Caenorhabditis elegans: one gene and its partner. Changing the gene in region 1 together with any one later gene gives a genetic interaction. Each region holds a gene or a part of one and is shown in the gene's direction. Other genes may lie near its edges.

The links.
Region 2: of ant-1.1 (region 1) and daf-12, changing one suppresses a phenotype caused by changing the other (phenotypic suppression), as found in Caenorhabditis elegans (one study listed by BioGRID).

Annotation. Positions count from the first base shown.
Region 1 is NC_003281.10:13,461,574-13,465,421, forward strand, and holds ant-1.1 (ADP/ATP translocase), read left to right. Parts: upstream 1-1,589; 5' UTR 1,590-1,657; coding exon 1,658-1,715; intron 1,716-1,823; coding exon 1,824-1,888; intron 1,889-1,933; coding exon 1,934-2,154; intron 2,155-2,207; coding exon 2,208-2,766; 3' UTR 2,767-3,079; downstream 3,080-3,848. Other genes in the region: abcf-2 (ABC transporter domain-containing protein), read right to left, coding at 1-260, 312-500, 560-634; T27E9.2 (Cytochrome b-c1 complex subunit 6), read right to left, coding at 784-1,011; cdk-5 (Cyclin-dependent-like kinase 5), read right to left, coding at 3,245-3,331, 3,384-3,464.
Region 2 is NC_003284.9:10,642,811-10,647,686, forward strand, and holds the start of daf-12 (Nuclear hormone receptor family member daf-12), read left to right. Parts: upstream 1-1,629; coding exon 1,630-1,740; intron 1,741-3,027; coding exon 3,028-3,087; intron 3,088-4,876. UniProt on the Caenorhabditis elegans protein: Nuclear receptor which binds directly to response elements in target gene promoters. Activity is modulated by binding of steroid hormone ligands that include dafachronic acids.

The DNA of each region.
Region 1 (3,848 bases):
AGCTGCTCGGCAAGATGTTCCAACTCTTTTCTGACTGAATCGACATCAACGACCGCTTGAAGAGCAGTTTTCTCTGAAGCAGGCATTTCACGGGATACGAGGTACATATCCACGGACTCTGGGATTGGCATTTCCTTGTTGTAGATTGCCTGAATGATGGTAGACTTTCCAGATCCGTTCAATCCGATGAGTCCGTAACGACGTCCACGGTTGAGTTCGAGTTTCGTGTCAACGACAATTTCACGACCGTGGAATGTAATCTGAATGAAAACAAAGTTACTTGTTGGAGTCGCCAATTAAAAACCACTTACCGTCAGGCTTTCTACTCTGTGATCAAGACCCTTTGGATCGGAAGTCAATGATCCGGCGACTGAACGAGCAGCAGCGTTTTCCAATTCGATTTTGGCCAAGGTGGCGGCGGCCTGATCGAGCTCCTCGTCTAAACAGCAGAGACTGTTGACGGACGGATGTTGAGATGACATGGCGGTTGGTGTTTCTACCTGGAAATGAGATGATTATTATTTGTTAAACAAAAAAAAACTAAAAATCAATTGCTCACCTTCTTTTTTCCTTTTCCTCCTTTGGCGGCAGCCTTCTTAGCGGCCTCGCGTGCTTTCTTCGCATCAGACGGCATTGTTGTCCAGCAGTGATGCGGATGGGGTACCCTAAATTTTTATTTATTTATCTCTCAAATACACGGAAAAAGCGACGGATAAAAAATACGAGAGCGAAAATTCACATAAACTAGACGAGAAATCCTCAAAAAAAGCAGGAAAAGAAATATTATTTCAACGAAGCGAAGGCCTTTGGCATGGCACAGTGATCCAAATGGTGAACGTAGTCAGCCATCTCCTGATGGCAGGTCTCCTCAGTGTTAGAACGAGAGTTGACACGATCGTTGCACTCGTCGAGAATACTCTTGAATTCGGTGACATGGTCGGCACATCGCTCACGGTATTGAGTAAGTTGATCGACGTCAGCCTCGAGTGGCTCTTCCTTGTGGCTCGACATACTGATACCCGAAAAAAATTCCATGATAGTGACAAGTCATTGGCTCGATGAGAAGAGAAATATGAAGAAAACTACTTTAAAGCGATTCGAAAAACCGGTCATACCAAACTCCCGTAGGCATAAATTAGCCACAATGCGATATCGATTTTTTTCGGAACATTGAGGTTACGAATAACCAGTTATCTACAGTGTAAATAAACAAAAAACACTTCAAGTACTGCTTATCACTAATACACTATTGTGTTTGCTTTGACATGGCTCATAATTTTCATAAAAACTGAAACTTTCGCAATTAAGTTACTTTCTTGGAGTTATGACCTATTTTTCGAAAATAAATCACGTTTTTTTAATAAAACAAAACGTGAAAAATTCAGGAATGAAGGAACGAACACGTTTAGAAAAGAAAAATACGAAAAATCGATAACAAAACTGATATTTAGGCTCAAAATATGCAAAAAATCCCAAAACTGGGCGGTCAGAGAAAACTAGTGTTTGAATCGCCGCGCCTGACGCACCGTACTTGCGAGCGTGGCGAGACCTGCAAAGTGCCTCACGGGCTGTGCGCGCACCCCGTTTCGACGGGCGGCCGTCTTCCCACTATTGCTTCTGGCAAGCACCGACCACCGAGGTCCTTCAATCTTGAATCATGTCCAAAGAAAAGTCCTTCGACACCAAAAAGTTCTTGATCGATCTCGCCTCAGGAGGTAAGCTTTTTCAGTTTTTATTGCAAAAATTTGGAGGATTTCTATAATTATTAATTTTGGGTTTTCATTCGTCAAATTTGTGATTTAATTAATTTTGTTTTCTTTTAGGTACCGCTGCTGCCGTCTCCAAGACCGCTGTTGCCCCAATTGAGCGTGTCAAGCTTCTCCTCCAGGTGTGTGATGAAACTTTTTTCCACTATAAATATGAAAAATTTTAGGTCCAAGATGCTTCCAAGGCTATCGCCGTTGACAAGCGTTACAAGGGAATCATGGATGTTCTCATCCGTGTCCCAAAGGAGCAAGGAGTTGCTGCCCTCTGGAGAGGAAACCTCGCTAACGTCATCCGGTACTTCCCAACTCAGGCCATGAACTTCGCCTTCAAGGACACATACAAGGCAATCTTCCTTGAGGGACTCGACAAAAAGAAGGACTTCTGGAAGTAAGTTAAACATTGCATTATTGTTTTTAGAAAATTTCACATTTGAAATTCAGGTTCTTCGCAGGAAACTTGGCTTCCGGAGGAGCTGCTGGAGCCACCTCCCTCTGCTTCGTCTACCCACTCGACTTTGCCCGTACCCGTCTTGCTGCTGATATTGGAAAGGCCAACGACCGTGAATTCAAGGGACTTGCTGACTGCCTTATCAAGATCGTGAAATCCGATGGACCAATCGGACTCTACAGAGGATTCTTCGTCTCCGTGCAAGGAATTATCATCTACCGTGCCGCATACTTCGGAATGTTCGATACCGCCAAGATGGTCTTCGCTTCTGATGGACAGAAACTCAACTTCTTCGCCGCTTGGGGAATTGCTCAAGTTGTCACAGTCGGATCTGGAATCCTTTCCTACCCATGGGACACTGTTCGTCGTCGTATGATGATGCAGTCTGGACGCAAGGATATCCTCTACAAAAACACCCTCGATTGCGCAAAGAAGATCATCCAAAACGAAGGAATGTCCGCTATGTTCAAGGGAGCCCTCTCCAACGTCTTCCGTGGAACCGGAGGAGCCCTCGTCTTGGCCATCTACGACGAAATCCAGAAGTTCCTTTAAATTTGATAACACTTTGATAATTTTTACCTTGTCATTGTCCAACAAAATCTCGTTATGTAGCTTGTTTTAGCAAAGTAGTTCACCTAGCTACTATGTTAAGTTTTCAAAAATAAAGCGAGCCACATAAAAAGTTTTAAATCCTCTATTAAAGTTTTCCCCTTTTCAAATTCTCATTCTTTCCCTCAACACCCCGATTGAACATTCGTTAGGATAGCCCCTTTATCTGGACTCGGTTTGACAATCTCGGTTATTGCACCTGTGTTTGCCGTTGATCTTTAAAATTACTCGAACAACAATAAAACGTTGTTGATTTTCCCTTCGTTCAATTATGTGCCACAGAAAGATTTCAAACCGTAGCCGTTTATTAACGATGAGATTTTGTTTCGCAAGCAATGAGGTTCATTTGGGGTCAGTGGGGGAAGTGAATGCCAGGGAAAGCGAGAAAACAATGTGAGTAGGAAAGTGCAATAGTGAATAGTTAGACGTCAGAAGTGTCTGCGAAGTACGCATGGCGTAGAGCTGCATCGGCATCGATTCTTCCTGCTGGATTGCAAACAAGAAGTTTCTGCAAATACTTCGAGTTTGAGTAAGTATAATTTTTATTGGAAAAAAGTTACCTGTAAAAGATCACGGCCACGTGAATTCAAATTAGGTACGATTTGGCTCCATGTAAGCGTTGGATGGTAGATTGGGTAGGGCTGAAAAATGGTATGTTATACTTGTGTGTTCCTATAATGCAATGGAATTCAATTAATTATTGTCAATCTTAAATCTAGAACAGTTGTCTCTGCTTCTCTAAATCTACTCAATACTCTGTTCTCTGTCCTGTCCCAGCCGCCCGTGATTGTATGAATTACGTCACCCGAACAAACAGCTGAGCTCAAAGTACTCAATATCATTTCTTCTTTCTATCTTTTTCTTTTTTAGTTTTTCACCAATTGACACGGGCGGATAGTAGTCGGGAGGACAGGACAGCGGCAAAATCGTGGCAGGTAAAATGGAAAAGATAAGAAGACGGAATTAGAGAACTAAGAGAATTTGATAAGAATATGTAGAGGTGAAAATACAAAAAATTCAAAGAA
Region 2 (4,876 bases), on another chromosome or scaffold:
TTTTTCCCTGGATGTTGCGTCTAGTTTTATCTGAAATGACCTTTAGGCACATTGCTAATCGTATTTCATTTTTTGGTTCCTCAAATTATTTTTTTTGAAAATAATTTTATTTGTCTGATAAGTGATCTTAAATGTAACTGATATTTTTTTAAAGTTGGATTCAAAATGAAAACATTTTCTAAAAATGGTTTTTTCAATTTAATTTTATTTAGTATTTCAGTACTTTCCTTTTTCCATTAATCAGTTGAATAGGAGATGTAATTTTTATTAAGTTTAATTTTACATTTTGTATTAAACTTATTCAAAAATAATTAATTTTTTTCCCTAAGTTAGTCAAAAATATTTTTTAAAACTTTTTTAATACTTTTGAGATAAATTTTTAGATTTTTTATTTCACTTTCGTGATTGTTCCATTTTGCAACATTATTCTGCATCAAAATACATTTTGAAAACATTGAAAGTTCTTCAAATGCCGCAACTCGATTTTATTTTAATTTCATCAATTTTCTTGGCCGAATATCAAATTTCTATCTGAAAATTAACTCAATCTTTTTGTTTTTGACTCAGAATTGAGTGCACCACAACTTATTTTTCAATTTCTTACATTCTCTAAAACCTTTTTTTGTTCGTTCCGTGCTGTTTTATTTCAATATTTCACCAGAAATGCATATTCTTCTCAGTAGGTGCAGTTTCATGTGTTGAGTGAATGAGACCACGACATTTTTTACAATTGTTCCGCTTTTTCCCTCCCCATATGCCATCTCAAATCCAAATTTCAAATGCCTTCCTCTCCAGCTTCTCATCTTTCCAATTTAGCAATTTTTCACGTCAAAATGAAACGAATCAGATTTTTGGTGCTAAGCATTAGGATTTGATGAAACAAACACACTATAATCAGAAGTGACAGATTTTCAATTAAATTTTTAGAGATAAATACATAATTTATCAATTTATGCGTGCCAGCAAAAAGGCAGAAATAGTATGAACAGCAGAGTCTACTTGAGACTAAATCTTAGTTCTACTCATCAACCAAGCGGATGAAAACATGATAATGAAAATGTACTTTTATTTCAGTTTAAATTGTAGATATCCACGCACCAGTTAACCCAGTTATCTGGTTTGTTTGTTTTTTTTTTGCTGGTCGTCAAGAACAACTTTCGATGTAGATAACTTTACCGAGCTTCATTCATCAAAAAACATTTTTTTCCCAATTTTTCGTTACAAGTTATAACTGTATATAATATCTAATCAAAAAGAAAAACTTATTTTATAGAGAAAGTTTTGACGAGATCTGTTTTGCCTAATCGAGATGTTTCAATTTTACAAAACTTTGCTCGCAATCAGTAGATATGTTTAAAATTAGCAGTAGCAAAATTTTTTTTTTTCGACTGTTCCACGCAAAAAAAAAAATCACAGCAGAAAAATGACAAAGTATTCACAAATAACGACCTCCCGTCCCCGTTCTTGTGTCTCTTCCGATCTTTTCTTTTGTGGCTGTTGATCACCAGTGTGTACTTTGGAAACTTATTCCTTGCTATTCCATGTTGCTCAAAATCTTGCTTTACTTGCTTTACAAAAACATAATGAAAATTTTTCAGCGCACATTTCGGCGCAACGGGCGCCAATTAAATGGGCACAAATGGAGGAGTCATTGCGGAACAGTCAATGGAAATCGAAACAAATGAAAACCCAGATAAGGTAGAGGAGCCCGTCGTGAGAAGGAAACGAGTAACCCGCAGGGTAAGTGATTTCTAAAATCTCACGGCTTTAAAAAATTGTATACCGAGAAGAGCCAGTACAAACTGTGTAAAGCAATCAAAAATGTGAAAATTAGTATAAATCGGCAAAAAGGTGAACAAATTGGATATTTACAAGTTATTTATAACAAACTTAAAGTTGAAACCGTATTTATAATTTTTTTCTCATCAGCTAAACAGAAGACCAAAGTATCAATAAAAGCTTGTGGGAATAGATGCAGAATAGTCTTGTAGAAATGACCTTTTTTGCAAAATATATTGCATCATTTTCACAAGAATGTGTTAACATTTATGTTTAAACCTCAGTTATTTTGTAGAAGTTTCGAACAAATGGTATTGAAATTTTCTTAGAGTTGATACTCATCAATTTTATTTAGTCTTAACTTACAAAGCCACTTCAAGCCTATCTACTGGTGTCAGTAAAAAAACACAAAATATGTAGTAACGGCATATCATGGTAGAACAATTTTCAAAATGTTCTCAATTTCATATTTGGTTTGAAAACTGAAAAATTCGACCATTCTGGTACAATCGGCATTATGAAACAATGTCCTCTCTGCAGCTATTTCCCCTTTTCCACTCAAAAATGTGTCGGAAATAAAATCTTACTTTCTAAAGTATTCGTAGAGCTTAAACGTTTAACTGTTATAAGTAACACATAAATATGTCTGCTTCTTTCTCAAAGAACAGCACTGATTTTAGAACGTTGACATGTCATCTTCGGCGGTCTGTGTCTAAATGTTCGATTTGTAGCGATAAGCGTTAGAGTGGCCAATATTTTCTGAGAACAAAAAGGAGTCATATTCTTATCATCTCTTTTCGTGCGTTTTCTATCTTTTGTGTAACCGTACCCTCCCACCACTTGTTAGCAGCAACATTTATTCTCTCTGAATTTCTACATCAAAAGTGCAATTTGGGGGAGTTGAAAACTGTTCGACCCTCCCAGCGCCGAAATCGACGGCTATCTTAACGGGGCGCCGAGATGAAGTAGGCAAAACAGATCATTGCAACAACACATACAATCGCCATCTATACTCTCACAGTGCCATGTATAGTAACTCTTTCCACAATTTCCACAAACTTCCATTCTATCCAACTCCATATTACTTTTCTGCTGTTTCTTACGAAACTCCTATTCAAACGTCAAAAACTCCGGGTTCAGCAAGTGTAATTGATGTTGAAAAGATTGACGACGATGATAAATCGTCAAGCCCAGCAAGTGTAATTAAAAATATCATAAATAATATTTAAATAATTTTTTTTATTTCAGCGCCACAGGCGGATACACAGCAAGAATAACTGCTTGACACCTCCAAACAGCGATGACGACGTTAGTTTGTTATTATGTTTTTTCAATCAGGTTAGATTATTATGACTTGACTCAACCATTGCACCAAGATGAAACTTTTTGTTGTTTTTGTGGTTGGCGGTAGTATTCTATAACTTTAAATTGCTAAACGATTTTCTTTTCTTCAATCAAGAATCTTATTGGATTTGAATTATTGGAGCTACATATATTTTCAGTTCATTGAATTTAATGCTCTATATTTTTGTGTGTATTCAGAAAACATGGTGTTAACAAATGAATATAATAACACTCTAAAGGACATTTAGTTATCAAACTTTAATTCAGTTTTAGAAATTTGTAATAAGCTTCTATTATAAGTTCAAAAAGTTCCATTCTGATCCGATCCTTCTTCTTATTGATTGTTTCTCATCAATTAGTCTTCATCTCTTTTTCGAAGTTCGGCGTATGTTTTGTGCAGCGTTAAACTCACGCCATTTTGCTGACGGGGAATTGTTTAGAAGTGAGTGGAGAGGAAAGAAGAACTGATGTTCTTGAGTGTGATGTGCTCTCAACATTCGAGAAAATGATGAGAGAAATTTCATGTGTTGAAGATACAAAATGCGCTCAAGATAATGGTGGACTTTTACTTCTACATCTAAACGCTTTTTCAATGAAACCTGTACTGGAAAAATTCGAAAGGAAAAATTCTGGAAAAGTCGTTCAGCTTTTACGATACCTGAAATAAATGAACTCATAGTGAGCTCTAGTTGAAATTATTCGGACCAACTAGGTCTGAAACAAAGAAGCTGTATTCTTGCCAACAACGATCAAAGTTTAAAGTCCAGTGTCATCATCGTCATCTTCAATATCTCAATTTTCATCTTCAAACAATCAACCTATCCACAACCTGTTCGGAACGCCAAACTACGGTAATCAGCGCCGGTGTTTTGATAAAGCGATAAGCATAAGTGCTCACACTTACTTCTTACTTACAATTAAATTCGCTTCCTTTTTGGGCCGTTCCAAGGTCAAACGGTGAAACACACGCACCGTACATATACACAGGACGCACTGAAGTTTTTGCTACTGCTGCCTGTTGTGTCGTCGTTCGGCCCCGATTTTTTTAAGTGTGTGTGTTCCATATTACCGCAAAAACTTGGGACCACGCCTCTCACAACACCTACTTTCTCAATTATTCCGAAAACAACAATGAAGTGCTGATGATACCATTCTACTATATACTTCCGGACGTCTATACTTCATTCCGAACACAAAAATCAAAAAATGACACTCGAAGCAAATGTGGCGGCACTTTCGAAATTCATGTCATTCGACAAAATGCTTGCAGCATTACGGGTGAGTAAACGTGAAGATTATTCAAATTGCCTTGAACAATCCAGAACAAGTAACCGTTTTTGACTCATTATTGTAACACTTTTTCTCAATCTTAAATGTTCAAACGTTCAAGTGTTCTTTTAGTTTGCAATTCCCACAAGTTTGGACATGTAGTTGTAAAATGTCAGTCACGCTTTTTCAAAATTATTCAATTAGTGCTCACGAGAATCAGTGAGCACCACCACATGATCTCCTTACACTCATCTCCTTTATTTTTTGATTATCTTTTTTTTTTTGTTTGTTTTCAGTGTATCACTAAAATAGTTTAGTTTTTTAGAATAATGTACAGTTTATAAGAAGTTCCAATATTCTTTGAATCGTTGACTTTGAGTGATTTTGACAAGTTAGAGAGGATGAGATGCGAACGTTGTTTGCCTCGACCTACATATAGGTTATTGTAAGTAGCGCGCTAGGCCTTTTCAAGTTTTCGGAACAT